Mytilus edulis: one gene and its partners. The protein of the gene in region 3 purifies or fractionates together with the protein of the main gene of each other region. This does not show direct contact. Links are inferred from orthologs where the notes say so. Each region holds a gene or a part of one and is shown on either strand. Other genes may lie near its edges.

What was found.
Region 1: the proteins of protein AAR2 homolog (region 3) and tetratricopeptide repeat protein 27-like purify together in Homo sapiens (affinity purification with mass spectrometry; 3 studies listed by BioGRID and IntAct, with this or other methods). This does not show direct contact. The link is inferred for Mytilus edulis from reciprocal best matches to the Homo sapiens genes AAR2 and TTC27.
Region 2: the proteins of protein AAR2 homolog (region 3) and pre-mRNA-processing factor 6-like purify together in Homo sapiens (affinity purification with mass spectrometry; 3 studies listed by BioGRID and IntAct, with this or other methods). This does not show direct contact. The link is inferred for Mytilus edulis from reciprocal best matches to the Homo sapiens genes AAR2 and PRPF6.
Region 4: the proteins of protein AAR2 homolog (region 3) and zinc finger HIT domain-containing protein 2-like purify together in Homo sapiens (affinity purification with mass spectrometry; 3 studies listed by BioGRID and IntAct, counting the BioPlex papers as one, with this or other methods). This does not show direct contact. The link is inferred for Mytilus edulis from reciprocal best matches to the Homo sapiens genes AAR2 and ZNHIT2.

The regions. Positions count from the first base shown.
Region 1 is NC_092346.1:91,098,285-91,106,046, reverse strand, and holds the start of tetratricopeptide repeat protein 27-like, read right to left. Parts: upstream 3,370-7,762; 5' UTR 3,277-3,369; coding exon 3,183-3,276; intron 1,116-3,182; coding exon 935-1,115; intron 1-934.
Region 2 is NC_092355.1:77,114,767-77,123,072, forward strand, and holds the start of pre-mRNA-processing factor 6-like, read right to left. Parts: upstream 3,370-8,306; 5' UTR 3,311-3,369; coding exon 3,222-3,310; intron 1-3,221. UniProt on the Homo sapiens protein: Involved in pre-mRNA splicing as component of the U4/U6-U5 tri-snRNP complex, one of the building blocks of the spliceosome.
Region 3 is NC_092348.1:58,116,566-58,124,609, forward strand, and holds the start of protein AAR2 homolog, read right to left. Parts: upstream 3,348-8,044; 5' UTR 3,333-3,347; coding exon 3,255-3,332; exon of another isoform or gene 3,211-3,254; intron 2,463-3,210; coding exon 2,293-2,462; intron 1,445-2,292; coding exon 1,344-1,444; intron 1-1,343. Other genes in the region: maternal B9.10 protein-like, read left to right, coding at 7,260-7,570. UniProt on the Homo sapiens protein: Component of the U5 snRNP complex that is required for spliceosome assembly and for pre-mRNA splicing.
Region 4 is NC_092345.1:107,504,293-107,512,583, reverse strand, and holds the start of zinc finger HIT domain-containing protein 2-like, read right to left. Parts: upstream 3,370-8,291; 5' UTR 3,332-3,369; coding exon 3,300-3,331; intron 1-3,299. UniProt on the Homo sapiens protein: May act as a bridging factor mediating the interaction between the R2TP/Prefoldin-like (R2TP/PFDL) complex and U5 small nuclear ribonucleoprotein (U5 snRNP).

The DNA.
Region 1 (7,762 bases), on a different chromosome or scaffold from region 3:
AATTGTATTCGTTATTTTACAAAATTGTTTTACATGTATATAAAACAGATGATCAAATACAAACTAGATTTTACACTTTGACAGAATTCATTTTCCTGTTTGTCATAATGGTCAGCTCACTGTGGATATCATAATCCAAATAAAGAACAACATGAACAAACCACATATACTTTTTCAGAAAAGATAACAAAGACATGCTAGTACAATGAAACTAACCAAACCCTGTTTAAATTAGGACTTGTTATAGGTCCTACTTTACAACCTCACTTCCAAAATTTCTAATATCAAATGCTGTACATGTATGTGTTAATCAAACAATTGCCTCATATCTTGACCTGCACAAGAATGAACATTGATTGATAGTTTAGTCTTAGAGGCATGATTTTTTTTTATTAGTTGTAAGTGGCTTTGAACTAGCTGTCAGTAACTATGCGTAATATTATATCTGCCTTTTTGTTGTTGGGATATACAAGAACCCAGCCACATCCACTCTGTAGTACTTGTATTTGTAACCATCTGATATGTTAAGCCTTTTTTCAACTGAGTTTTATAGTTCCTTCTTATGGTATACTGTTACACCACTGTCCCAGGTTAGGGGAAGGGTTGGGAACTTGCTTACATGTTTAACCCCACCACATTCTGTATGTATATGCCGGTCCCAAGTCAGGAGCCTGTAATTCAGTGGTTGTTGTTTGTTTATGTGTTGCATATTTGTTTTTCACTAAATTTTTGTATATAAATTAGGCTTTAGTTTTCTCTTTTGAATTGTTTTACATTGTCATTTCATGGCCTTTTATAGCAGACTATGTGATATGGGTTTTGCTCATTGTTGAAGGCTGTACGGTGACATATAGTTGTTAATTTCTGTGTCATCTGGTCTCTTGTAGGTGTCTCATTGTCAATCATACCACATCCTCTTTTTTTTAATACTTACCTCAGTATTCTATCACCATTTTCTATAAACTGTGGGATATTATCCTGTAACAATAGATCTATTCTTTCTCTGTTGTTTGTATTCACACTAAGAACTTTTCTTGAAACTTCGCTGTTTAACACACTGTCAAATCTGGATTGTTGGAAATATCTTAAAATGTCTCGATCAGAATCAGTTATACCTGAAGAAGATTTGATACCAGAAACAATTAATTCAAACGCTATTTTTTCAGATCATTTGTTCATGCATGACAAGTAAGAATAAAACATAAAGAAGAAATCATAAGGCTACATTTCTAGAAAGTTGAACTCAAGCATTATAAATTAAACAAATTGTTCACAAGACATAACAATTACATTTTAAAACTCTGTCAGATATCAGTATCCACAGAAAGATATGTTACACTACATTTACCATGACTACCCAGACACAGTATTCTGACTAAGAGCAGATCAGTCTCTAACTCATTGATGTCCTGTTTTTAGTGGAGAAGCAGTATATCCAGTTTAAACCAAAGACTTTAAACTAGAATTACTGCTTCTCACCCTCTTACATTGTCATATTAAAATTGTAAATTGTAAATTGATATCCCATTTCATGTGTGACGGGATTGCTTCCCTTTGAGAACTTAGTAGATACTTAGTCAGACGTAAGCGGTTGAGCTAATGAAGTACTTCTTTAGCTCAGTCGGTTTACGCGCTGCCTTGTAACACAGAGGTCCCGGTGGAGACAAGCAATTTTGTAATGAAATTTGTGCTCTCCGGTTACATTGGCGCCAAACAATAACAACCCACGGTTAGAAGAATTACCTAGCCAGGTTAAAATATAAATATATAAAAGATGAAGATATCATCATTATAGAGTATAATGACTCTTGAGGTGGGGGAGTGTGACGGGATTGCTTCCCTTAGAAAACTTAGTAGATACTTAGTCAGCCGTAAGCGGTTTAGCTAATGAAGTACTTCTTTAGCTCAGTCGGTTTACGCGCTGCCTTGTAACACAGAGGTCCCGGTGGAGACAAGCAATTTTGTAATGAAATTCGTGCTCTCCGGTTACACATGATTTGGGTTATTTTATCTTTTAATAAATAAATTTGGTGTATTTACTGTCTTCTGATTGGTTAAAATTATTAGTTTTATTTTCAATGTTGTCAATTTTTATGGCAACACGCCCACTCTGACGTTGTGTATTCATACGCCAACATGTGCTTACGTTGTTATTGTTAATATGGGGACGAAGTCCCCAATAACAGTAGAAAATTCAATAAAAAAAAAAATACGGGAAAATTTCCCGAATTTTTCATTGTACTAATGAACTCAAAATCGTTCAATTTTTTTTATGTCATGTTTTGAAATCCCGGACCTGCGCAGAAATGTACAATATACTTCCTTTTTCCGGTCTCGTTTGTATGAAACTTTGAGTAAAATATATATTTATCAGTCTAGTATAAAATAGGAAGGAACGAGCAATACTTATTTCATTTTTAATAATTCCTTGATATGAAAAAACGTTACCTAATGATAGCGTTTCTTGTTTACATTGCATATGACGTCATAATTTAAATAACGTCACAACTAAAATCCCTAACAACAGAACCAAAATCGGAAACGTTACTGTATTTCCGTGTCTTTTTTTTGGACAAATAATTGAGTTACAAAAAAATAATTCATACAGACTTCGTCCCCATTTACAGGTAATGCCTGCCTCATATTATAAATAATATAAATAATATAAAAAGTTCTTTGAGCGTTATTTTTGATGAAAATTTATTTATAATGAATGGCAATAATTTATTTTGATTTTAATGAACCATAAAACTAATTTTTGACTCTTCACATTTTACATAATCCGCTTCGCGGATTATTCAATGTGAAGAGTCAAAAATTAGTTTTATGGTTCAATAAATTCAAAATAAATAATAGCCATTCATTAAATGGGGATAGTTCCCATTTACAAAAATCTTCCAGATTTAGCTAAAAAGACTAGAAATTGAGTGTTGAAAGATCCCCATTGAAGGATACCAAGGAGGGAGACTCAGGCAGATCCACATCCAGGCTGTCGATCAGTTCTTGTGTCAACTTGTGGAAAAGCCGTTGATCTTGGTTGAGTGATACATTTTTTTCTCTCTCTCAAAAAGTAATGATTAATCTTGAACCCTGTTGTATTGAATAAAACTGCATGATTTCATACAAATTATAGTTAATACAGAAAATAAACAAATATTACTGTCATTGCAAATCTAGATTACCGTCAAAATCTTTTAATTCTTCGACGTTTTGTGGCTCATTATTTGATAAGATGTCATTTTCAAACTCTATACACATCTTCTGTTTTCTTTCCATGGTTGAAAATAAACACAGACGTACTGCGAACCAAAATATTTTTTTTACATGTGAAAATTAATGGGAGCTGACATATTGGAATTTTTAAGTGTCATCTCGAATGCGGTACAACTATGTGTATATTTCCGAGTTTTCTATTTTTCTTTCATCTCTATTGTTTCTAATATTCTCATGATTGGTTCTTTGCTGTTCTCTTTTCTTTTTTTTTTTCATTGAATTATAAAACTTGTGTTTTAAAAAAAAGTATTCATATTTATAACACAAATTGCTACGTTATGGTTTGGTAATTTTTTATTTGAGGGGGGATTCTTTTGCTGTTGTTTAGGGACAATCTTTTGAATTTCTGTGTTTGGGGGTCAGATAAAACAGTAAAAATAGATGATCAACCAGAACAAATCTTCCTGAAAAGACTTTTTACAAGACCCACTGGTAATGTTTCCCTGGAGCTCTTTGCCCATCCTCCCCCTCCTTTGTCAAATTCATGGATCCACATCTGAATTTATTCAACATTCTCCAATGATTAAAAGTCACATATATATGGGTCTTTAACAATAACCAAAACATATTTTTTTTCCTAAAAAAATATTCTGATCCCCAATGTTGATGAAAATAAATGTTGTGGTCAAGCAGAAAACAACAAAAAAATCTGAATCCAGATTTTTCAAGTACCAAAATATATTTTTGAAAAATTGCTTTAATTTATTTTTGACTCAGACAAAAAACCATATCCACCTTAAAGTTCAATGGTTACTCTCTATACTAGATAGCAACCAACAACAACCACTGAAATACAGGCTCACAACTTCTAACAGGCACATACAGAATGTGACAGTGTTAATTTAATGTTCGTGAGTGTTCAACCATCTCTCTAACCTTGTATAAAAATATAACATCAAATCATAAGAAAAAACAGTAAAAATCAGTTGGAAATGGCTTGACTAATTAGATTGATACAAAGCGCAAAATTACTAGCATAAAGACAAAAGATACAAAGTACCAATCAAAGCCAAAACCAACTGACCAACTGATAAACATATAATTTCTCCCAAACTGAAGTATCAAACAGTATACTCCAATGGAATCAGTGGAAAGATGTCATAAACAGTCTGAGAAAAGCAGAAAAAAAACTAGAATTTTATTGTATTAAATATTAACGTTAAACATATTTGTTTTTCATTTATTTTTTTATATAAATAAGGCCGTTAGTTTTCTCGTTTGAATTGTTTTACATGGTCTTATTTGGGCCTTTTATAGCTGACTATGCCGTAGGGGCTTTGCTCATTGTTGAAGGCCGTACAGTGACCTATAGTTGTTAATGTCTGTGTCATTTTGGTCTCTTGTGGATAGTTGTCTCATTGGCAATCATACCACATCTTCTTTTTTTATATTTTAACCTTTATGTAGCAATATTCCAACAACAGCTGCATATGAAAACAGAAAGTTATTGTATTCATGGGCTATAGTTTTACCTTTCATGATTTCCTGAATAGAGGGTCCATTCATCTATGGAAGCTGTCTCACAGAGGGTTATTCATGGTACAATCAAGTTCATCTCTTAAAATTTTTTAGACACCATCATAATATGGTTGGACAATATGGAACATTTGAATCACAAATATGATCAACTTTTTGTATACACAAAACCATCCTCATTTCCTGGCATGACATCACCTTATGTGATTTTTTATCAGACATAAACTGCTCATGGATTAGGAACTGTTAATATAATTATGGTTGCAGATGACCTTAGTTCACCATCCAGTTTTGGTAACAGGTTTGGGATCCCGCTAACATGTTTAACCCCGCCACATTCTGTATGAATGTGCCTGTCCAAAGTCAGGAGCATGTAATTCATTGGTTGTCGTTTGTTTAAGTGTAACATATGTGTTTTTGTAAATTTTTGTACATAAATTAGGCTGTTAGTTTTCTGCTTTGAATTATTTTACATTGTCATTTCTGGGCCTTTTATAGCTGACTATGTGGCATGGGCTTTATTCATTGTTGAAAGCCATATAATGACCTGAAGTTGTTAATTTCTGTGTCATTTGGTCTCTTGTGGAGAGTTGCCTCATTGGCAATCATACTTAAATCTTCTTTTTTATATAATGTTTCTCATTGTACAGCTTACTGTGTAGTGTTTTTTTAATATATATACGTAGGTTGTCTGTTAATCTTTTTGTTTTTGTTTACATACATGTTATCTTGTTTCCTTGTTCATGATTATCCTCTCTCCTGTATTTAGGCAAAATTGAAAGTCATATTACACAGTGTAAAACATTCATACCAGATTCTAAATCCGCTTTTTAAAAATTTTGGGATGAGGTGATTATTTTTTATTTATTTTAATAGAGACTCAAGGATTAAGTATGTAACTTTGTATGATGTTAAAAACATTATTTATCAACTAGTAAAACTTCATTAGTGTATTTATTCAATGTATATGTACTACAAGTGTTGAGACTAAAAAAATATTGAATCTGAATCTGAATCTATAATAAGTTCAAAATGTCTAAATCATTTGTGGTCTTAGATTCTTCATTTGACATAACAGAATGTTTTTAACAGGTAATTGCTTTGATCTAATTTCTATTCAATACTACAGGGCATTTCATAGCTGATTATATGGTGTTTTTATTTTTAGAGAATTAAGTGTTGGTGAAAGACCAATGATGTTTTTTTGTTAAATATATTGGCCTTTTTTTACTTTAAAGGTCCCAACCCATAAAGAGCTTTACCAAACTATTCTTAACCCCCAACCTTACCCTAACCCATACATAAACCTAACACTAGCACTAACCCTAAAACCTAACCCTAACCTAAAACAGCCCCATACCTAACCCTAACCTTAAACAGCCCCATACCTAACCATAACCAAGAATGAACCTTAACTCTAAAGTATAGGGACACTTGAAGTAAAAGAAGGCCAATTCATTCACAACTTTTCTAACCTGTACAGCATGACATATTGTATACATTTGCACCATCTTGTGTATTATGTTGAAAACCATAAAACGATATCTAAATGCCAAATTTTGTGTGTAGGGTTCTCATTGACATATATACCTCACATCTAATATTCATGGTATTTTAATAGGACATTATAACAATTAGTGTATCATGGCCAATTATAAATGCATTAGTAGGTTAAATCTTTTAATTGGCTTTACATAAAACCAACATTAACTTATAGGTAACATAATAAATAATACAGAAATAAATACTGAAGTAAAAAAGACACAAAAAGTCATATTAAACAGTGTATAAAATTTAATCCTATTTTTTTCACATATTATTCCTTTCTCTTTTTAAGAAATAGTGTTTAATACTAATAGCAAATCATAACAAAATTCTATATTCAATACTTTGTAGCATCATTTGTTCAACCAATAACCTTGTTTACCATCATTATGTAATTGTCTTTTTCAAAGCTAACTTTTCCATATATTAAAATTGATTTTTAGCACCATCCTTGCATATCAGTATCACATGAGAGTACTAATTCAAATTGATCACAACAAGACAGCAACCCAAAAATCCAAATAAATATTGTTTGGTCATAAATCCGGCAGTTGGGTTTCAAGTTTGAATTGTTCAGATGTGTCGTGTCAAGGCTTTTAATAACTGATTATAAGGTATAAGTTTTGCTCATTTTTGAAGGTCAGATATATATGGTGAGCTAAAGTTGTTTATATCACCACCATTTTGACTGTTGGATAGTTGTCTCATTGGCAATTATATGACGTCTCCTTATTTCTATAAAGTCAATTTGTTTATATTTATTGAATATCAATCTTAACATTGGAGGAAGCAAACTTTGTTAGTACATGTGTACCAAGCAAATATTATCCTTTACTTTGAAGAAAATTTTCAAATCACAAAATGATATCATATTACCCTCATTCTAATTTTTTGGATTACATGTATAGATATATGCATGAACAGACATATACACATTCAAACTGTAAGATATGTTGTTGTTATCAAGGTTATTGCTATTTGTGACAGACAATTAAAAGAAATGCAAAAAAAGCACTTTATAGTATATTGGACGGATAGTGGTATATTCTTATTTAAATTTGAATGTCGTTAAAAAAAGAAAATTTCAGTAAAGAAATATTTTGTCAGGCTGATAGTAAAACTAACATTCTTTTATATATATTTTTGCATAATAATTATAATTCAAAAAGTGTCATATTTCCATGGGATCAAACTGCTTTTAGTTTCCCATTAACAGAATATACTAATCACTAATGGCTAATACCATTGCTGAACGAAATTGATCCCTCTTTCTATTAAATGAAATAAGAAGATAATTTGAGTGAACTTTATTTCCTTCTAAATGAGCAATGGTGGGAAATTCAAAACATGATATATTTTTGAAATGAACATAATTTGCTTCTTCAAAATGTATTAGAAGAAAAATCTAGAATCTTATTTTGGTAAAAATGTCACATCCAACTTTCAACTTTCTTGTTATCAAATATAT
Region 2 (8,306 bases), on a different chromosome or scaffold from region 3:
ACATAAGTGCATGAGCCCTTTTAATTCAAAATGGAATTTAAAACCATATTTCATTTTTTGACAATTTTAATAAATTTTGTTTTCCATAAATATTATGATATATATGTACATGTATTCAAAATTTTCAAACAAATTATGACAATTCACCACTTATAACATTATTGATATTGCAATTAAGACAATAAAACTTTAGTACCCAAGCTCACCTGTTGTTTGTAAAAAAAACTAGAGGCTCTAAAGAGCCTGTGTCGCTCACCTTGGTCTTGTGCATATTAAACAATGGACACGGATAAATTCATGACATAATTGTGTTTTGGTGATAGTGATGTGTTTGTAGATCTTACTTTACTGAACATTCTTGTTGCTACAATTATCTCTATCTATAATGAACTTGGCCCAGTAATTACAGTGGAAAATATTTTCTAAAAATTAACAAAAATTTATGAAAAATGTTAAAAATTAACTATAAAGGGCAATAACTCCTTAAGGGGTCAATTGACTATTTTGGTCATGTAAACCTATTTGTAGATCTTATTTTGCTGAACGTTATTGATGTATACAGTTTATCTCTATCTATAATAATATTCAAGATAATAACAGAAAACGACAAAATTTCCTTAAAATTACCAATTCAGGACAGTAACCTAACAACGGGTTATCCGATCCATGTGAAAACATCAGGGCAGATAGATCTTGACCTGATAAACAATTAAACCCTGTCAGATTTTCTCTTAATGCTTCGGTTTTTGAGTTATAAGCCAAAAACTGCATTTTACCCCTATGTTCTATTATTAGCCGTGGCAGCCATTTTGGTTGATTGGCCAGGTCACGCCACACATTTTTTAAACAAGTTACCCCAATGATGACTGTGGCCAAGTTTAGTTTAATTTGGCCCAGTAGTTTCAGAGGAGAAGATTTTTGTAAAAGATTACTAAGATTTACGAAAAAATGGTTAAAAATTGACTATAAAGGGCAATAACTCCTTCCGGGGTCAACTGACCATTTTGGTCATGCTGACTTATTTGTAAATCTTACTTTGCTGAACATTACTGCTGTTCACAATTTATTTCTATCTATAATAATATTCAAGATAATAACCAAAAACAGCAAAATTTCCTTAAAATTACCAATTCAGGGGCAGCAACCCAACAACAGGTTGTCCGATTCATCTGAAAATTTCAGGACAGATAGATCTTGACCTGATAAACACTTTTACCGCAGTCAGATTTGCTCTAAATGCTTTGGTTTTTGAGTTATCAGCCAAAAACTGCATTTTACCCCTATGTTCTATTTTTAGCCATGGCGGCCATCTTGGTTGGTTGGCAGGGTCACGCCACACATTTTTAAAACTAGATATCCCAAAGATGATTGTGGCCAAGTTTGGATTAATTTGGCCCAGTAGTTTCAGAGGAGAAGATTTTTGTAAAAGATTACTAAGATTTAGGAAAAATGGTTAAAAATTGACTATAAAGGTCAATAACTCCTAAAGGGGTCAACTGACCATTTTGGTCATGTGACTTATTTGTAAATCTTACTTTGCTGAACATTATTGCTGTTTACAGTTTATCTCTATCTATAATAATGTTCAAGATAATAGCCAAAAACAGCAAAAATTACCTAAAATTACCAGTTCAGGGGCAGCAACCCAATAACTGGTTGTCGGATTCATCTGAAAATTTGAGGGCAGATAGATCCTGATAAACAATTTTACTGCGTCAGATTTGCTCTAAATGCTTTGGTTTTTGAGTTATAAGCCAAAAACTGCATTTTACCCCTATGTTCTATTTTTTGCCATGGCGGCCATCTTGGTTGGTTGGCCGGGTCAAGCCACACATTTTTTAAACAAGATACCCTAATGATGATTGTGGCCAAGTTTGGTTTAATTTGGCCCAGTAGTTTCAGAGGAGAAGATTTTTGTAAAAGTTAACGACGACGGACGCCAAGTGATGGGAAAAGCTCACTTGGCCCTTCGGGCCAGGTGAGCTAAAAATGAAAGTAGTGATTAACACCTGTCAAAACATTTATGGATGTGTCAATTATGTCCTCACAGACAATAAAACTATACTTAATTGATTTTTCATTATTTAAGCAGTTTTTTGGTGAATTGGGCAGTATTTTGGTTAAAATTTGTAGAAAAAACAAAGTTATATCTTTTACATAGAGAAAGGACACTTGTCTATATATAGCTATGTTATCAAATTACACTGTACTTGTCTAAATTCTTTTGAATAAGATTAATAAATTATGGCTTTAAAAAAAATCACCAAAATTAGGTTTTTCATGAGGAAAAAAAGTTATTAGAAATTCTTGAATATTGCAATATACAATGTAATCATAAGTAATCACAAGCAATCATGATTACCCTAAAGAAAAGTAATTTAATGCAATCAATTACATTTGAAATAGGTCACTGGTGTAATTGTAATGTAATCGATTACATTTTATAAGCAAAGTAATTGTAATTTAATCAATTACATTTTAAAGTAATCCACCCCATCCCTGATTCAGTACATAACTTTTGATCCACACTATCATTTTATGATAGACACTTGATATGGAGAATTAGTACAGCATAAAACATGTCCAACCCTGTAAAATATACATTTTCGACGTCAGGAACCGTTAAACATATTAAAGGGTGCATTTTAAACTTATTTTATAATTTAAAAGGTCCTTTAAATTTTCGCCTCGCTCTGCTCCCTGATCTTTAAAAAACTTTGCCCCCCTTTTCAAAATCCTGGATCCGGCCCTGTGAATACACAGTTTTATGGTATTATGAGGTGTAACTCAAGAGTTAATCTTGTGTTAAGTATTTTTATTACTATACAAAACAAGAGCAGACTCAGGTGGGGGCATGGCAGGTGTTCTAATATCGATTGACAGACAAATTAGACACTACATAATGTCATTTGGCACAGATTCTCTTCTCAACTGGTGCAGATTTCCAAATATCAATAAGCCATCATGGCCATCAATCATTCTTTCTATAAACAGTACCACCAAAAACACTGATTCCATAGATGACACCACCACTTGTAAGAAATGCACCGTATTATGAACCTTTGATTATATTCATTATACATAATTTCGGTTTGTTCCCAGTTTTGGTCATGTTGATGTTGCTGTTGGTCATATTTACATGAACCTCATCAAAGAAAAATACAAAATTGGGACTAATTCATGAATGTCTGATGTCAACTTGGTATACATCATTGACCTACCCTCTTCCTAAACCAGGAACATATCCCAACGGTGCTGATAAACCAATGAAATGCTTCTTTCTTTTGCTAACAAACGACTGTACAGACATTTTCGGTCTCACAACGTTGAAATATCAACATCCGGTCGGTATAAAATAAGCTAAAAGAAATATCACGATCTGGAACCATACCCAGTGTGACACGATGTTCAATAACATAACAATATAATACACAATACAATATTCTTATAGTCAATCAAGGACGCCCTAAGAAAGCAGTATAATTACAAACAATTTATTACAATGATTATCATTAATTCTTAATGATATATAATGACAAAATATAGAAAAGAGAAAATAAACAGAAAAGCAAAATTAAAACCGCAGATCAGTATTTATATATATTCAACATATAAAAATGTTATTTTTTCTGTTTATGGATACCATTTGTGCCATAAAATTTAAATTTGGTTGGTGTCAGTAATTTGGCATCATTTACATTTTTTTTTTATCAAATTATCCCTCTCAGTCCCGAGATCTAGAGACTGATTATAAAATTACATAGGTGTTTTAGAACTTCTGGATTTTCACAACCCATTAGCCATATAAACATATTTTCATTGTTAAATTTCTTTAGATTAGGATAAGAAATACAAAGGTCTTTAATAAATGTTATTCTATATGTTTCCTTTTTTTTTTGTGCATCGTAGGAGAAAGTGGATCTCATCTTCCACCTCCTCCTCACAAAGCCAGTTTACAAATACGCTCATGAGCTGGGATGTTTTTGTGCCTCCCTGTTTCAATTGCAAGTTGATGGTCCCCAATTCTTAGTTTTGTTAATGCCTGCCTAATTTGTTTCGAGTTTAGCAGGTTTAAATAGGGTTCAAAATTGAAATTTGTTTTGAATCAACGAAATGTACGAAGTTCATTTTTTTGGTTATTAATACATCATTAAAAAAGTTTATTTTCCATTCTTTTATATACAATCCTTTAAGTTTTCTCATGACTATTTTGTTAATACAATATTAATTATTATGTAGTAAACTGTTGGGAGTGAGATCCAGAAGCTCCAAAACTTTAATAATATAACTATACCATGAAGTGTGACCTTTTTCATGTAGGCTTTTAGATAGTGCCAGTGCTTCTTTTAGTAAAATATTTCAGATTTTTCTAAAGTTATCCAATATTTAAGGATGCTTAATAAAATAGACAATTGTATTGGTAAATGTCCCACTTCTGCCATGACAACATTATTTGTGCTCTTTCTGTTTACACCAAGTACATATTTACAACTTTTTACATTCAAGTATAAAATGATTATATAGTTTATAAAAAAAAGAAGAATCCTTGAGTTTCGAGGAACCGCCAGCACCCCATATTTCTGATCCATACAGTAAAATTGGCTGAATTGTAGTCAAATATATGAACGAATGTTGAAATTTTTTGTTGAGTCATTAAATGGTTTTCTTAGTTTAAAAAAGGCCTTTAACCCCTTTTTGTAAAGTTCAGATTTTGCCTCTGTAAACGTAAACATATTCAATTAAAACTAAACAAAGTCAAAGGTGCAGAAATAAGTGTAATTGTCGTTAAATAAGATCCATAAAATAACATTACATTTCCATTCTCAATTTTATTATATAATCCAATTAGATTATGTCGAAACTGTATGTTTGGGTATTTATGAGTTGAATGCTTCCTTTTTGCAAGGACGTATATTAAATGTGAGTTATGCGTCCTTGTTTTTTGTAACTTCATTGGGGGTGTAAAAGTGTTGACCGTATAGTAGATGTTATTTATACGTCTTTGTTTATTGTAACTTTATTGGGGGTGTAAAAGTGTTAACCGAAATACATTTTGTATGAAGCGCGGAAATCATGACAGGAAACGCGATCCATAGAATATCGTATTCACTGGGAGATATATACTCTATATATGCAAGCACTGCTGGAATATTGCTACATAAAAAATGGAAAGTTCACAATTGGGAAGCTGAGATCAACTTTTTGTCGTAAAGTTTTGATCTCAACCGACAATCGTTAAACATAAAAATAAGATGTGGTATGCATGAAGATTGTCAATGAGACAACCCTTTACAGGAGACAAAATGACACCAAACTGAAGAACTACAGGCCATTGTCAATTTCTAGACGAAAGTCAAGTTGTGATACAGACTGAGCTGCAGCTGTTGTGTCGGTTGATATAAATTCGTTGTGAAAGATCAACATAGTCAATACACTTTGAATTATGACAAAGAGGACATTTAGTATAGGTACTTACTTATCCTGTTCATTTCCAGTGGAACTTAAGGCCTCTGTGATATCTGTAACTGATATAGTTTTTACATGATGGCGGAGATAACTCCATGCCCAACACTAGTACTCCAACCAGGACGACCAGGGAGTTTGTGATCAAGATTTTCTTCTTTTAGAAGGGCTGCTGTCCTGAACTAATGAATCCGTTCTATCCAGGTTTATTGTCGAAAGTTACCATCTCCTAGATGAATTGCCTTATTGAGCTACGACACTATTCTTACCGACTTTTTATCCATACCGTAGCTGGGACAAGATTGATAAGTGCTAGGACATGTCCACACACCGGTAGGCATATACATTGCATCTCTAGGGCCCTTACTTGCTACCCCGATATCTTCTGCCGTTTATCCTGAGATACTTAGAGGCTATGTACTGTCAGGAAATACTTAAACACTCCGCTTTCTTTTCACACAGCAAGCATACTAGCCAACGGTAGTTAACAAATCATTTACTTGCTACCACACTTGACAGATTTCACCACCCTGTGGCATAATACACTGGTCAGCAAACTAGAAAGGTAGATTCACAATATCTATAAAGCCTGACATTGATTACAGATACAATTGACTTTGATAATTTCCTGGAGCACTTGGAGGACCCAATAATTGTCTTTAATGACACTTAAACAATTTTGGTATCCAATACAGTAAAGAAAGATCCAGGTGATCATCTTTAGTTGAAATTCCATAAGACCACAGAACAGACATATGATTATCCAGGATTTCCTCTTTGGTACGTGTCTTTGGGGTAGGAGGGGAGTTGGGGTGTAAACTAAGTTTCGACGTGAATTGTCAATACCTTATTTATCAAGCAATTTATATAAATTGTAATTATATACAAATATGTAAAAGTAATTTACACTCAAACACGATGTTGTTTTGGGCTTTATAAATGTGTACAACAATATTTTGTCCAAAAGTGGTCTGAAAGGCTATAACAAAGAGAAGTAACAACAAAACGAATTCAAACTGATGTATCAGTATATGTTATAGTTCTTATTTGAAGGATGTAACTGCATTGAAAAAATCAAAATATTTTGCATAGATTCAATATAAACCATGATTTATGGCAAAGAGAAGTCATTTTTTTAATTTACAAACCTCAAATCTTATGGTTCATTCAAAAGAATAATTATACTTAAAATAGATATTTCGAATAGTACGAGACAATTCAAGCAACAGTTTATGAAAAATATTTCTAGAAAATAATACTGGTAATTATTTCAGCAGAAGTAAATTGTAGACCTTGGTCTGGAATGGGGATTTGTTTCTTTATTCTTTAATATTTTTTAAATGAGGGCCCTCATGGGGTTTTTGATTATGTGATTACTTGGCCGTTTTTTTAATGATTATTTGATTATTAAGCCAAATATTTCATGATTATTTGATTACCTAGGACTGTATTTTTAGTTTATGATTATTTGATTACTAAAGATAAGCAAATATTTAATGATTATGTGATTATATTGGCAAAAAAATGGTGATTATGTGATTACTAGGACCCCCCATGAGGGGCCTCTTAAATACCATTTTGTCTATTCTTTATAATTTTAGAAAAGTAAAAAAAACGGCGATCGTATGTGACCCGGAAGTGTCTATGAATATATAGGCTAGGTAGTTTCTAAATTTGATGTACAACAGTAAGGGCTCGAAGACTTATTCTAATGTTAAACCTTCCAATGAATTTAGCTTTTTACGAGACTTTTTGAATTTTCTTTGAGCTATGACACATTGAAATTCAGATTAATTTTAATGCGATAGTTTTTAAGTGGATAATCAAAATAAGCTTTTATCAGAAACGCTTAAATACAAAAAAAAAAATAAAAAAATAATCAAGCTTAGCGTCTATATATATCTATTATAGTTCTCAAGATAACAGGCAAACACACTAAACATGGATAAAGGTCGTCATAAAAAACCACGAAATCCAATAAGGAATCTACTGAAAATTTCGGCAATTTGAACTTTGGTAAATGTTATCTTATTGGTCATTTTGCTGTTTAAATTTTAATCTTTTTACCCTTAATTAGTGAAAATCATAAACTAAACAAAGTTAATTTAAATGTTGTGTGATATTTCTAAGTTGATAAGAACGTCCTTATAAGGATTCATAACTCTTGACTTATGTTCATTTAAATAGGATATTTCCCTATTTATAACACCACATTAGTTCATAAGTATTTCATGTGATAATAGATAACAAAGGGGTTTCCCCATATCATTTATTATTATCTACAACAAATGGAAGTTTTCGACGACCTTGACTGGCTAAACAGCCCTTGTACTTGTACAGTCGGCTCTATTATTATCTATTACTTACCTTTCCCCTTTCATACCTTACCATATTTCTCACTAAGGAGTTTTGGAAGCGAGTCTAGGGACTCGTCACTTTTGGTCATCGTGAGTCCAACAGTAGCATAGAAAATCTATATTTTCAAGTATGCAATAAAATAATAAAATTAGAATTGAGTATGGAAATTGGGAATGTGTCAAGGAGACAACAACCCGACACAAGAGCAGATACCAACATTTATGTAAAGCCCTAGGGACATGATAGGTGTGATATGGAGATCAACTTATCTCATCAGAAAAACCATTTATATCAAACCTGCATGACAAAAAAAAATTAAAATGAATGCTTGAAATCATCTTTTTCTTTTCATTTTGAATAAATGGATCACCTGTTTAAGAAATCGAATAATTTGTTTGATTTTTTCACAGAAACGCTAACCTTATTTATTGAATCAAACATGTCAAACTGATATGTAAATTAGTAATTTTTTTTGTGTATGTTAT
Region 3 (8,044 bases):
GATTTTATGTCTGGTAAAATTTCATAAAAGGTATCAAAAGCACTCTCCCTTTTTACCAAAGTCCGTTATTTGTTTCCTTTCTGTTGAATGCCATTATTTAAGCGTTTCTGGCATCAGACCACAATTATTCTTCCCCTTTGATACAATGCAATTTTTTGGTATATATAAGTAAAATTTAATTTATTTTTTTTACACCGCTTCAAACATGAAATAAATGTAACTGCTTATAGACCATTATTATTCTAATAAAATATGCTTCTAGGACAATCCATCTGTGCTTTTTCTTTTGAGAACCCTATTAACATGCCAATGGTAGGATTTGTATCTTGTATAAATGACAAAGGCTAATTTCTACAGTACCCTACTTTCATTTTGGCCAAATCACTACTTCACTTTCAACAATAAATTTTTTCCACATGTTTTACTTATTTTTATATGCAACTGATATGACCCCTTAATTAGTAAACATTTCAAAGAAAACAGTATACAGAATACAGAGAGTCTCTATATATTATAGTAGCATAATCATAGTATACATGAAGATAAACGCGAAAATAATGTCCTCTCTCCAATTACTTATGCAAATTTAAAAACAGAAGTCTTATCTATTTCTAAAAGTCAGTCTGATGATGGAAACAATATCAGGACGCCTTTTTTTCCGTATTTCTCCCAAAATAACTGAATCTGAATATTATTAAATCATAAGAATGGATGACAAATGCGACTATGCATGGTACCTATAGGACACAGAGGCATGATGATTAATTTATTGTGGAAGGAAGAGAAGTGACACACAAAATGAGGTCTTCTCGTTTAATAGTATAGATATTAAACCTATATCCTTGCACCTGTGTTTTTAATCATAAAAAATGTTGAGGACTTTAACATTAAATCAGAGTGACCTCACAGACACTTTTACTTTTACACCTAAAACTTTATTAGGTACTGTACAACTGAGCAAATTTCCTATCAGCTATTGTGAGTGATTTGCTCAAGAAAAAAAAAAGTTAATTTCGCTATTTTAAGTGATTTCCAAGACCATTACTATCTGAGGGAATTTTTCTCAATGAGAAATTTAGCAATTTTACCATTAATGAACAAAACAAACATCAGGCACATTTTAAAATATCTAGATTGATGGTACTTCCTTCAGACATCATTTAATTTTAATACAGGGAAACCTATCTGAACCAACGCCTAATAAAACCAGGAACCTGCCTAAATTGAACAAGTGTACCAGGACAAACCAGCCAAGTCACTGAATATTCTTTAGAAATTAAACCTTATTAAACTGTATTAATTCTGCCACTTTGACTTTGACAATTTGATAAAAATAAGGTTACCTTCTAACAATCTGTTCCATTTGCGAACAACAATTTCTTTCTTTCTGAAGTTATAGAAAAATCCAGTTCTAGGTGCTGTTTGACCTTCCTTATTACAGGCGCTGAAATGTAAATGAATCTTAATAAATATCTTAAAAACGTAATGTATAACATGTATAATGATAAATTGAATGTTTGGCCCTATTGCCATATTTCAAGGGCTGTCTTTTGTGAAGTTATATCATTCAGAATAATAAAAGTGACAAGGCTATTTAAGGCTATTGATCTTCCACCCATGAAATATTTGCACCACCCTTGGATTTTAAAAATGAACGAATAACAGGGGAAAAAATCATATAATTACAGATTACTAGTAAAATCATATTCCTGATAATCTAAAACAATAAGCATTATTTTCAAAGAAAAGAAAAATATGCCTTAAAATTTTTGATACAGAAAAAGTTACCCCATTTAGACCCTCTAGCATAGCAATGATGAAGTCAACGCTTGATTTCTTTTAGTGAAGAAATTAACCTGAATTCATCTTGTGTTGAAAATTACTTAGTATCTACAGAGACTGCTGAATTAAAAAATACAAAAGACCATAACATGTAATTTTGTCATTCTCAACATACAGGAACCATGTGTCTGTGGAGTGTGGACTTTGATAATTGTTTTGTCTAAACTCTGAGAACAAATTATACTGTGGTTTCATTAATATTTGTTGGATACCAATTTTCGAGGATTTCCTGAGTGACCAGGGGAACCATAAATATTCAATGGATTACATATTTTCTAAAGGAATGAATGCAGACTTTGCCAAAACCACGAAAATAAATATCTGAGACTATGCACGTTTTCTTCAAACCACGAAAATCGGCACCCAAGAAAATTAATGAATCCACAGTATTTAATCTAGTACTTTTTTCAATATAAGTGACAATAATTTAAATCAATGTAAGTAACATACCTATAATAAACAAAATGAAGACCTGCAGGAATCATTTTAACTCCTCTGAACTCTGGTCCGACATTCCATGAATTATAATCAATACCAAATTCTGTTCCAACTGGTACATCAAGGAATACAAAAATAGCACCTTCTTTGAACAAGGTTTGAGCTGTGTCTTGATCCATGATCTGTAATTTAACAAAAGAGTAGATAAATTAGCCCTTCATCCAAATTACAATGTATAACCCTAATCATCTTTTGTGTGTAAATTTGAATCTGACCAATAGGTCATAATAGCTTAGCCTTAATATGAAGATCTTTTCTGGATATAATTCCAAATAAAGAGTATCCATAGTTTTCATTTTAAAATTGTGATATAATTATATCCTTAACATGCTAAAAGAAATGTCCAACACCAGAAAATTATACATAGGGAATTGTTAAAGGAAGTTGATAGTCTAATATATTTACAAAATATTTCTTCTTTTTTCAAATAATGGGCTTCGTATTGGGGATACTTTCATGACAAATAAGGGTAAAAAATCTTGCCACCTGATGTTATCATTAAATTTTGGTGCATGACGATAAAAAGTACATTTTTTACAATGATTAAAAAGAAATTGACTGATTTTGACAAATCACATTAAATTCTTTCCAACAATTACGGTAACGGTTAAATATTTGAGACCTCTGACGAATTATGATGGGGATATTTTGACAAATCACGATAGGATTTCAACCAATTATATGCCTAACAGTTAAGGGTCATTCCTGCCCTCATTAAGAGCAACATTTATCATGATGTGTATAATTTTGTGGTTTTCATATAATAATTCATGTTTGGGAGAGTGTTTTTTTTATACGTCCTTTTTTTCTCTTTTGTCATAGTGTTTATTTGTCCTTCGACTTATGAGAACTTTGCTTACTACTTCTTACATTAAAAATACAACATCAAAGCTTAGAGGGACATGCAAACCGACATCCAAAAGTGAGGGAACGTCTAAAATTCGTTTTCCCAATGTTGAGGTTGTGGCCAGATTATCCCTACAGAGAATCATTGTAGTATCACTAAGTACCTAAAGGGAACTTAAAAATAAAAAGCAACGTACATGAAAGAAGCCAACTCGCCCCACATGTCAAATCGCCCTAGACCAACTTGAAGTTAAGGGAGTGATCATATTGTACAAAAAGTAGAAAGTTTATTGTTTCTAAAGGAACCTTGGATAGAGACATTGCTATCGGTTAAAAAAAAATACATTGCTATCAATACCCAATATATTATATTCATAATGCATGAACATGAAATTCATGAGGAACTAAAAGGTTGTAAAATAAATTTTAAAAGAGTTCAGCCATGATTTCCGATTACGGGCCCCAAATGACCGCAATTACAACACTGTATATTGTAAATTACATTGATTTTAATTACACATATCATATAAATGAGGATAAGAATAAAATTCGTATAAGATTATATATGATAGAAAAGATTTGTATAATAAGAATATATTAATCCTTGGTAATATTGACAAAGTTTTCTTACAGAGGTCCACTTTTCTAAAATTAGCAAGTTGTATATACGATTTAAAAAATTTCAAGATACTTGAATGAAAAATAGGCTTCTACTAAGGAAAGACGAAGAATTTATATAGCGTGACTATGCAAACCCTTTATCAGACCTCAAAAATATTTTTATGTACAGGTTTCCCCCATAAAACTCTGATCAAATGTGAAAGAGATTACAAAAGAGATTATCATACAATTTTTAAAATATTTTAACTACACGAACGATTCTCAATTGCTTAATAAAAATCGGTAAAACCAGGATGTAATTCGAAGGTTAAAATTTGGTGAAACGCTTGGTTTTAATTTCGTAAAACTGTTTGATATTTTCGATGTTTAAATAGACGATTTCAGAACGTTCACAAATAATAGTTTAAAATTGCTTTATTTCAAAACCTTAACAATCCATTATACCTCCTGAAATATTTCAGAACCTCCATCACCGCATTTCAGGGTAAATATTACAAAACCTCTATTATTCTATAATTCGAAATATGCAGATGTCCTAAAATAATTATGGAGTTCCATAAATGTATTGGGGCAACTTGAAATTGTGCTATACATATAGTTCCAGAATTAAAAGCAATGTCACAATTTACTGATTTCTGTGCACAAATAAGGACTCAGAGGGTAAACGCAAGAAAACGAAACCCTATTTTAACATTACTTTACATCGAGATTGTAGGGCAAGTTATTACAGTAATTTTTCTGTGACATAATATATTAGTTATCCTTTTCCCAGGATTTTTCTTTTGCTAACTATTTATTATTTAATACTCGGCAGCTATGCATGTCAACATTTATAGTGCGTTCTTGTTGTTCTGTTACACCACTGCCCCAGGTACGGGGAGGGTTGGGATTTCGATAAAATGTTTAACCCCGCCACATTATGTGTCAAAGTTAAGTTCAAATTCATTATTGTAAACTCTCAGACACATAAAGTGTTGCAAGAGGAATTCAATATAGTCAAATGGAAATGGAAATGTGTGTATGTGCCTATCCCAAATCAGGAGCCTGTAATTCAATGGTTGTCGTTTGTTGCTGCATGTGTAACGTATTTGTTTTTCCTTCATTTTTGTACATTAATTGGGCCATTAGTTTTATCGTTTGAATTGTTTTACATTTGTGATTTCGGGGTATGGGCTTTGCCCATTGTTGAAAAACGTACGGTGACCTATAGCTGCTAATTTCTGTGTCATATGGTCTCCTGTATAGAGAGTTGTCTCATTGGCAATCATACGTTTTTGTTTATATATGATGCTTATTCGATATCTAGAAAAGGTTTTCACGGACTCATCTCAAACCAGGGACAGGTCTTGAACTTGCAGAGAGGTGAGTTTTTTTCTCTCTCCATGTAAACTTTATGAATAAGAACAGACGGTACTAATTTAAAAGCGCTATTCCTTTTCGTTTGTTTTCTTCGTGTGCGTTTAATGGTTTTGTGACATTAATTGACACACCATATCATTTTTTAAGCAAGACAATATAACCAAAATAGTATTTGTGGTCACTAAAAGTTCGCTAAGCTGATACTACTGTATATCTGTACCTTTTTCAGTAAATCTTTTGATTGAATTCCCCAAAGTCAGTTCAGCATACCATTTCAAGGCTTGAAACTGAACAAGGATAATGAACTTATTGTGTGGATTCAGGCGAGGAGGGAAGGTGGCGGGCGTGCACCTCCCCCGTAAAATTTGCAAAGTATGGGTTGTCCTCAGCTTAACTTAAAGAATATTTCGATAATTTTACCCCAGTAAACAAAAATGTCACTTTTTGCTAATTAACTTAAAATACTGCGTCCGCCTTTGTAATAAAACGACCACAAAATTATACAAAAGTCAGGACAAATTGCGATATGAGTATAACATAAGTCAGAGATCTATATATTGATTAGATTGGTGTCCCTCGTAATTGAAATCTGACAGATCTGCCATTGACCGTAAAATTGAGGCAAACATTCTAATTTGGCATTAAAATTACAAAGATCATATCATAGGGAACATGTGTACTAAGTTTCAAGTGGATTCGACTTCAAATTCATCAAAAACTACCTCGACCAAAAACTTTAACCTGAAGCGGGACAGATGAACGAACGAACGAACGGACGGACGTCGGAACGGACGCAGCACAGACCAGAAAGCATAATGCCCATAAATAGAGCTTAGAAATAAAACAAAATGTTATAATGAAGGCATGAGTGGGAATGTAGGCGCTGGTCGGTTGAGACTGCTCCGTATTTTACACAAGTAGTATTAGGAATATTGTGATATAGCATGATCCGACTTAACCAGCTCAACTTATCTAAAATGCAGTTGCTTAGAAAAGATGTAGCATATTTTTTTTAAAAATATTGTGGAAGTCAGAGTGGCTTCTTCCTTTAATTATGAAGGTAGGCTATACTGGCCGTGAGCACAGACCAGCGCTGGAATAATGCATGCATGGATTCTTTTTTTGAAGCAACCGCTACGTTAAATCATATCGCGCAAGTGAATTGTCAATGGGCCCGGCAATAATTTCATCTTCCAGTTAGATATCTGTATATAATTTATGTTGTCTTATCCTTTAGATCGATTGACGTCAGTTAGATCAGTAGAGTAATGAACTGCTTATTGGTCATTGAAGATGTATAGATCATGCTATCACGGTCACTCACAGAGACATATATCTTTTTCTTTATTTGAATATGAATGGGTTTTGATATAAATTTATATATATTTATGGGTTGACATTTCCACAAGACTGTATTAATCTCAGCAGCAGCCGCACGTCTATACCGACTATACCCAAAATCCTATGTTATGATCCCCTTATTTGTAAACATTGACACGTGTTATATTTCCCGCGAAATGACGTTATGTATTTCGTAGCAACTCGTCGACGGAAACAGTTGTTGATTGGATGACCGCATTCTGGCATTGCGCTTTAATGGTGGATCTGGTCAAGTATTTACAGTAAACAAGATATTATTTTCAAGAGTACTTTATTGGGTATGTTGATATGTTTATACAGCCATCCATAGTATTAAGTTGAAACCAATATTCAGACTAGTGTTTTTAGTTATCAAAATATTTCAAAGATTGTTCTGGAATGTTGTGAACTTCGCGTTGGTGTTGTTCGTGAATCATCGAAAATAAGGAAATAATAATTTATGATAAATTCCTATTTCTTCCTCAGTTAATACAGATTAAGATCTTTTCAATTTGTTGTACATATCATTAACTGTAAACAATCCATCAGACTATGTTGTTTTGATAAATTTTATAATAAGGTTTTAATGACTTCCAGGCGAACAAAGAAGACAATAACAAACCGAAACCGAGGCTTAGAAAGTGTTGACAGGATCTGACAGATTCTGTTGTGGAAAAAGCGGAGTTACAACTTGATGAAGATTTTTTTAAGTGTTAAAGTGAAGAACATTAAAAATGAGGGACGAAATTGCAGCAGCAGTGGTGTTTTTATCACGTTTAGTACGGCAGTGCGGTAGCATCCCAAATGAGAAAATGGAATCCTTCTCAAGTAGTCTTTCAGCAGTGCTGGTAGAGAAATTTAAGAACCACTGGTATCAAGATTTTCCAGCTAAAGGACAAGCTTATAGATGTATAAGAATCAACCCTGAAGAACCAAATGACCCAGTAATGGAGAGTGCTGTACACAAATCTGGTCTCGAATACAAAGATCTCAAGTTGTTTTGTGAACTGACACTATGGGTTGATCCTTCAGATGTCTCTTGCAGGTAAAAACAAATTTTTTTTGTATTTTATTGATAGAAGGAAAATGTGTTTATGTTCTTTAAATTTAATGTCATAATGTTGATTACTAAAAGTATGGAGAGCCATTTAAGCCAAATAACAGTATTTAGGATAGACTAATATTATGGTCCGGGACTCACCGGTTAATTTTTATGCAACTTTCACAGAAGATGATGTGGAAACCTTATAAAAAGATTTTTTTTAATCGGAGGCTATGAAAACATTCATTAGTAGTTTTATTTCACTTGTGGTGAGACATGTGATACTCTTTGACAGCGAAGTCATCAGGAATCTCCATGACCTGTTTAATGATGGTGTCACCAACCAAAGATCCTGCCATCTTCAAGTGATACCTGTTATTTTCAAAATTTGTTTTTGTTTCTCTAGCCACCACCAATTTTGTGAGCAATTATAATCAATTAACCCCTAGGCTTGTATTATAATTCAAAGGGTTCTGA
Region 4 (8,291 bases), on a different chromosome or scaffold from region 3:
ATAGTTTGTAACTTGTCTTGTTTTCTCATTAATTAATAGAATTTTAAATTATCTGCTCTTTGCTGATGACTTACTAATCATTTCAGTGCAATCCATGAATAATGAAAATCCCATAAATTTGTCTGTTATCTTCAGAACACTGCTCATTTACAAGTCCCAAAGGAGCAATTTTTGAAGGCCTTGCGTAAATACTTTTTTTGCGCAATCAGTTTCTTTGTTGAACTAATGAGATGAAACATTGAACTTTAATAGAAAAAAATGAGCATACCTGTGAAAAATTATAAAAAGGCATGATTTTACATCTCAAAACTTGAGGAGTTTGTTGGATTGTAAGAACAATTTACTTATACTAAAAAAAAAATTGAGAAATGAAGGGGAGATTATTCAAACATTTTTTATTTACTTCTTAAAGTAAATAAAAATAACTTGTACAAGTAGTACCCCTGACTGTCGAGTTGGCACTATTAAATCATTGTGGTTTATCTTTTTGTCAAGAGTGGGGCGAGTTGGAAGAACCTTATGTCAGCAGGATGTTAACCCTTGTCATAAGTGGAGCATGTTATCCAACCTATTTGCAATGGGATTTTAGCCTTTTTCATAAGAAGGGTGAGTTGGTAAACAAGAGTGGGGGGGGGGGGGGGGGGGGGGGGGGGGGGGGGGGGGAGTTTGTGAAAAAGTGGGGTCATTAGGAGTGGGGTGATTTGTCATGGATTCCTTCTATAAACCTGATTGTTATTCCTGGCTGACCTAGCCGCTTGAACTTTTGAAGTCATACAATAACACTTTTCCATTGTGGCGTCTAATATTTTGTTTTATGACGTCAAAATTTTATGGGAACCTGTGTGATATCCAGTAATGACAGATAAATATCAATAAGTTCCAAGACAAGCTTTAAAGATTTATGGCTTTGACTGTCCCTCTGGTATCTTTCGTCCCTCTTTTAAAGCAGTGATTTTCTTGCCTTTATTTTGGGTCCAAATATAGGCCCCATTGTCAATTAGACTTGAAAAGCGACACCTACAGGAAAATATATTTTCGGCTCTCTTGGGAGTTAACTGGAATATGAGGACAAAAGACAGTATGTTCCTAATAATTCCTGTCAATTTTTACATGATTGAAATTTTAAAAAATACCAGACTTCAGAAAAGCATAACATTTATCATGTTTATGGTAAACACCCGAGAGTGCCGAAAATATATTTTCTGATAGGTGTCGCTTAAGTACTTTCATTTTCAAATGTAGGGCCTCGATTCGTTCTATTTCAAAAATGTCGAGTTTGTTTTATGGATTACAATAGTTATAGATGTTACGTAAGGTAACAAATATATGTCATTGGAGAGATAATTCAAGTGGGAACATATTTATTTAGGTCACAAAGTAAGTGAAAGTCTTAGAAAAAAATTACAACAATAACTTGAAGCATTGTCGCAAATTAGCTTCCTTCCTTGTGTTTTTTTAGGGATTCGTATGGATAGTAAACCCGGCAATACACCTTATTGCTATTTAGTCTATTCCTGGAAAAACAGTCATTTATACAACTTCCTGTTTAGGTCACGCAGGCCGAAAATGGAGGTCATCAGCAGTGAGCTGAGGGAGGAAAAACTTTAGAAAGTGATCATCAAGAAACTTTGATAGAGTATGATCCACTTTTTTTCAAAATTAAAATTGAATTAAAAAAATATTTTGTTTGAAGTATTTACGGTAGTTTAAACAGGTCTCATTAAAAAGTATCATGCACGGTGAATTGTTTAAACAGGGTCCCAGATATCATCGACTGGATGAAAAAGTTGTGTAATTTTAGAACTTATCCGGAATGGAATAAATATCCTGTGATGAGATTGTCAAACTTTTGGGTATTGATATTGACTATCAACTTAATTTTAATCACCATACATGCCATATTAAAAATATTTGTCGTAAAGCATCCCAACAACTGAATGTTTTAAAGCGCATTGGCAGCTACCTTACTTAATTGAATAAACTGACAATTTTCCACACATTTATTTTATCTAATTTTAATTTTTGTCCTTTGGCATGGCATTTTTGCAACAAAAATAACACCACCAAATTGGAAAAAATTCAGGAAAGGGCTTTATGATTTATATATGAAGACTATGTTAGTTCATATGATGAACTACTTTTACGAGCAAAGGTTCCATCACTGAAAATAAGACGTATGCGTAACATGGCTATTGAATGTTTTAAAATTTTATATAAATTGTCACCACCATGCTTACATGATTTAGTTGTATTGAAAGACTGTAAATATAATTTTAGATATTCTAATATTGTAGATATATACCTAGGGTCCGAACAACAACCTATGGTAAGAACTCTTTTAAATACACAGCTGCTGTTCTATGGAATGATCTACCTGATGATTTTAGAAAAATTGCTAATTTTAGTCAGTTCAAAAATATTTTAAAGTCATGGAATGGAAATGACTGTAAGTGCACAGTTTGTGCAGACTTTTAGTTTATATATTATGCAAATTTATTTACCATCTAGATCAAATCCCATTTTTTTCAATTTTTATGCTATGCATTTTTACAAGCTTTTATGCCTAGTTTACACTTATATGCTTTTAGCCTTAATACCTAGCTTATGCTTATATTCTGCTTTTAGTGCTTCATTTTTGTGCTGTGATATTTATTGCATGTGTACTATATTATGTATTGTATTGTTATAAATGTTGTACTGTTATATAATGTCTCATATGTCGGTTAAAAGCTCATTAGAGCTTATGTTTGTCTATGTTTTATATACATTGTACCATGCCGACTCTAAATAAAGCTTATTTATTATTATTTATTATAGCGATTAGGTGTATACACCTTATCGCTATTTGTCCGCCATTACTGGATATCACACAGGTTCCCGTAAAATTATGACGTCATAAAACAGAATAGCTGACGCCACAATGAAAAAGTGATTGTTGTATGCGTCAAAAGTTCAAGCGGCAGGGTCAGCCGGGAATAGCGATAAGGTGTATTGTAACAAGCCCCTGTGTTTTATCATTCGTGTAAAAAAAACCATGATGATATATATAAAAATGATAACATGTATCCCTCATAATAAGGATAGTCATTGCATTGTGAGGGGTTGTTCCCACAGGCACTTGTTTCTATCCTATATATCTATCTTCCCGTCAAGGAGTGGACTCATTTTTGAGTGTATATATACTCTATAGGAAGGTTAGCTGCGGAACCGTAGCTCTAAGGTCATTATGATATTTTTCGACTATTTGCGGACCAACTTAGTGTAATTAGTGTGGTGAGATTATATAGATAGATACATACAATTTACAGACGTTTTCTTCACGATTTTCCATGTTTGGGGATCTTTTATCTAAGGGAGAGGAACTTGAAGAATATGTCTGACTCCATGTATGTTCTGTAGCTTCCTCCGTTGGTAGGAGCACCTGCTATAATCTCTCTTACCTTTATAGAGTAACCATATTTTCAATTGTAGAACATTACCTGTGCTCTCTTCAAAAACAGTGATGATAATCACTCCACCATATGATATCTTACCATATTTTAAATGAACAAATAAACTTTATTTCAAGAGGATGATTCCCATTAGTTAAACCTATTAATTCTTCTTCGGAGTCCTCAAAATCCTAATAACATATTTTTTTTAAGTACATAAGTATTATAATGATATATTATACACAATATACAATTGTATCTAAAAGATACAAGTGTATCCAGTTACTCCTGAACAGGCCCGTAGCCAGGATTTTCCAAAGGGGGGTTCGTTTGACTCACAAACTCGAGTTTAACAGTCACAATTCGAACAGAACATCGACTTTAACAGTGCTTATTAGTTTTCAAGGGGGGGTTCGTCCGAACCCCTCGAACCCCCCCTGGCTACGGGTATGCCTGAATATGTAAATGTTTCCTTTCTTTCATAACAACTTCCCCATATATGGGTGTTTTTCAATAAAAGCGTATCTTTCAGACCTAAAAAAAAGTGGAAAATCAACTTGTCTAAAAAATAATTTCAAGAGTTATTTTGAATACCTCTATTATAGACCTGTTTGTAAACAAAAATTGCAATCTTAAATATTCTTTAAAATGATATCATTTTTCATAATTTGTGTACTGTTTCGAAGGGGACTTGTGTCCCCTACGAAAATTCTTCTTAACACACATATTTTTTTGCAATTTTAAATGTTTCCTATAGACATTCCAGTTTGTTTACTTTAAAAACTAGAAAAATCTATTTTTTTTCTGAATTGGAAAACCATTTTTATCGATAAAGACTAGACAGTACTTCACATATGAAGGTACAACTCATGTTACGTAGTGGACATTTTGATGCGTTTCGTAGTGGACAAAACCGTTTCGTAGTGGACAAAACCGTTTCGTAGTGGACAAAAAGTTTCGTAGTTGACATCAACCCTATTATATATTAATAAAAACATAATAAAAATTACATGAAACTAACCCTTGTTATTTGTTTTGCACGAATTTAATTGAAAAAAGATTAAAAAAGACTGCATGGTAGTGGTAGTGTCCACTACGAAACGTTTTTCTCCCATACTTGTTTCGTAGGGGACCGTTTCGTAGGGGACGTATTCGCATGTTTTATTTTCCCCCACAATCCCTATATTGCTTCAATCTTAAATTCAAGACTAATAAAATTTTCAGAAGAAACATTGTTGATGAAGGAAAATCAATTTGGTTTTCGTGAAGGTTATTCGACAACTGATTGCATGTTCGTTTTGCATTCATTTTTTGAAATTCTAAGAAATAAGAAAAAGAAGCTCTTTTGTGCATTTGTTGATTTTGAGAAGGCATTTGACACTGTTCGACGGGATGCTCTGTGGTATAAAATGCTTTTAAGTAAAATAAGTGGCAAAATGTACAACATTATCTTTAATATGTATCAAAATATCAAATCATGTTTATCATATAATGGTAAAAAATCTGATTTTTCCCATGCGAAAATGGTGTTCGACAGGGTGAAATTCTATCACCCTTTTTATTTTCACTTTTTTTAAATGACTTAGAAGATTTTCTATGCCAAGAAAATGTGATTGGTCTACAAACAGTAAGCAAAGACATTGAAACACAGTTAGATATTTATCTAAATTTATTTGCTATACTTTATGCGGATGACCCGATTATTCTTGCCGAAACGGCGACTGATCTCCAGGCCTCTTTAGATAAATTTAATACGTATTGTAACATATGGGGACTCAAGGTGAACGTTGAAAAAACAAAGATAGTAGTTTTTACAAAGGGAAGATTACAAAAGAATTTAATGTTTAAATACAATAACTCAAATATCGATATTGTTAAAGACTTTAATTATTTAGGGGTATATTTTTCAAGAACTGGGAGTTTTAAAACGGGCAAACTTCATTTGGCAGAAAAGGCTACTAACGCAATGTACGATGTCTTACGAAAAGGAAGAAAACATAATCTTTCTATTAGCTGTCAACTTGATCTTTTTGACAAACTTGTTAAACCAATTCTTTTATATGGCTGTGAAATATGGGGATATGAAAATATTGACATCCTAGAAAAAGTTCATTTAAAATTTTGTAAACTCCTTCTCCATTTAAAACCTACTACACCTAACTATGTTATATATGGAGAACTCGGTCGATACCCTCTTAATATTGATATAAAAATCAGAATGATATCATATTGGATAAGAATATTAAAAGGCAAACAAGAAAAACTATGTTTCATTGTGTTTAAATTATTGCTGAAATTAGAAAATGATTCTACTTTAAAATCTTCATGGCTAAATTATATTTCCAACATTTTTAATGAATGTGGTCTCTCCTACATATGGAGTTATCAACTTATTTACAATTATGATTGGCTAAAACATACGATTAGAACTATTCTCCAAGATCAATTTATCCAAACTTGGAGTGCAAATATTAATAACAGTCCTAAAACGGTTAACTATTGCATTTATAAAGAAAGTTTTGCTTTCGAAAACTATATCAACAAGCTAGACGACAAAGACGTTTTCACTCTTTGTAGATTTAGAACCGTAAATCACAAGCTCCCAATAGAATCTGGTAGATGGAAAAACATACCCAGAGAAAATCGAACTTGTAACTTATGTAATAGTAATGAAATTGGAGATGAATTTCATTACATTTTAGAATGTACATATTTTTCTGAAGAAAGGAAAGAATGTATAGATGAAAATTTCTGTACTAACATTAATACTCTAAAGTTTAAAGCAGTTATGAATTTTTCAAAACAATCAAAACTTAAAAAGCTGTGTAAGCTCATTAGAACCATTAATACAAAAATGAATTCTCTCTGATAAAATGGAAGCCTCCAAACTATGCATTCTTTTCTTCTCTATTTGCTGTAACCTCACCATGTTTTATAATATTATTGTGTATGTCTATGTATATCTGTATACCATTGTATCAACATAGGTTCTTCAGAATAAAATATATATATAAATTGCGATAGTATAAAGATTGACTGTATTCACCAAAGCATGTATTAAGCTGTACAATGATATTTTTTTCATAATTTTAAAACCAGATACTGAAGGAGATTTGACCCGTTTCGTAGTGGACATTTACAAAAATACGGTATCACTTTGGTGCATTTAATGTGCTCAATTTTTCTTACCAACAATTTAATTGCCGTTATAAAAGCATCACTTTTTTTGTAAGACCCTAATGTTTATATCTCTTGCAAACAAAAATTACACTGATTTTATAAAACTGTTTATTAGCAAATTTTAATGACTTCGTTTCGTAGTGGACATTTTGTTAGGGACACACCTTCTGAAATTAAAAATCCCATGTTAAAAGCTGTTTATTAAAATATGTTGGCTAGAAACATACTTTTGAATTATCAAAGAACTTATATTAAGTAAAAATAATATTTATTTCTACACTTTTTTACGACATTTTTGAGTACGAATGTTGAACAGGCGGTCTAGGGACATGCCATTTTGGTTGTTTTGGACCATTCAGGAATCAATATCTTATCAATCCCTCTAAAAAATAAAATGTTTCTTTGCTTTAAAATGTTTAATCTAATTCAATGTACTCACTGCACAAAAAATTACTTGCAAAGATCAAACACACGTTTTTTAAAGTGGCTAGGACAAGAAAGTACGTTTTTATTGAAAAACGCCCATATTGCAACAATAATCAATCAATGGCAGAACATAAAAGGTGGTATAGGAGTCTAAATTAAAAATGATAGAATTTGTTCATACCTTGCCAAAACGTAGCATCTATTGATATATGTTGAAATATATAATAAAAATGATAGGTCACCGCGCATTTTTTCAAGCTACAGGACGCGACAAAATGACACATTTTGTATGGATTATACAGAGAAAAAAACATTTTGTGGTCAGAAACTAAACAACATGATAGAATTGTTAAATACTTGAGGAAAAGATAGCTTTCAGACAATGCCTTGAGAATTTCAAAAGAAAAGATATGGTCACCGTGAGTTTTTCCGACTAAAATACAAAATAGGAAAATTCCATGTAGAATCCTTCAGAAAATGCACTATTTAAGAGTTATCTCCCCTGAAAATGGCAATTTACAAAAAATAAAAAAACAATCAAAAATAATCAATTTTTGCAAAAATATTAATATTTATAAGTTATATTCTTATAAATTACAAGTAGAATTAAATTTTCTAATGGTCTTAGCCCATCGTTTGAATCAAACTGTGGTGTTAAACAAGGAGATGTATTGAGTCCTCTTCTCTTTAATTTTTTTATAAACGACATACTTAAAGACTTGGAAAATATCAATGCAGATCCAGTTGTAGTTGGTGATGTTTCATTAAATGCACTTTTGTATGCAGATGATATTGTATTATTATCTGATAGCAAAGAGGGTTTGCAAAATTGTCTCAATACATTAAGTAATTATTGTTCTTCATGGAAATTGCAAGTCAATACAGAGAAATCAAAAGTAATGGTTTTTAATTCAAACGGAAAGTCTTTTCTGAACGAATTTTATTATAATGGCAAATCCTTAGAGACAGTTAATACTTATTGTTACTTGGGTATAAATATTAGATATAATGGCAGTTTTAATGTCGCCATCACTTCGCTTATGGAAAAAGCTAGGAAAGCGTATTTTAAAATAAAGAAAACAATAGGATTAGATAACCCTTGTAAACTTCTGGAAAAACTTTTTGATTCCTTAGTAGCCCCTATTCTCCTTTATTGTAGTGAAATCTGGGGGATTATTTCGACATTTAAAGACAGTGATGCCTACGAAAAGTTGCATATAAAATTTATTAAAGAAATCTTGGGAGTACACTGTA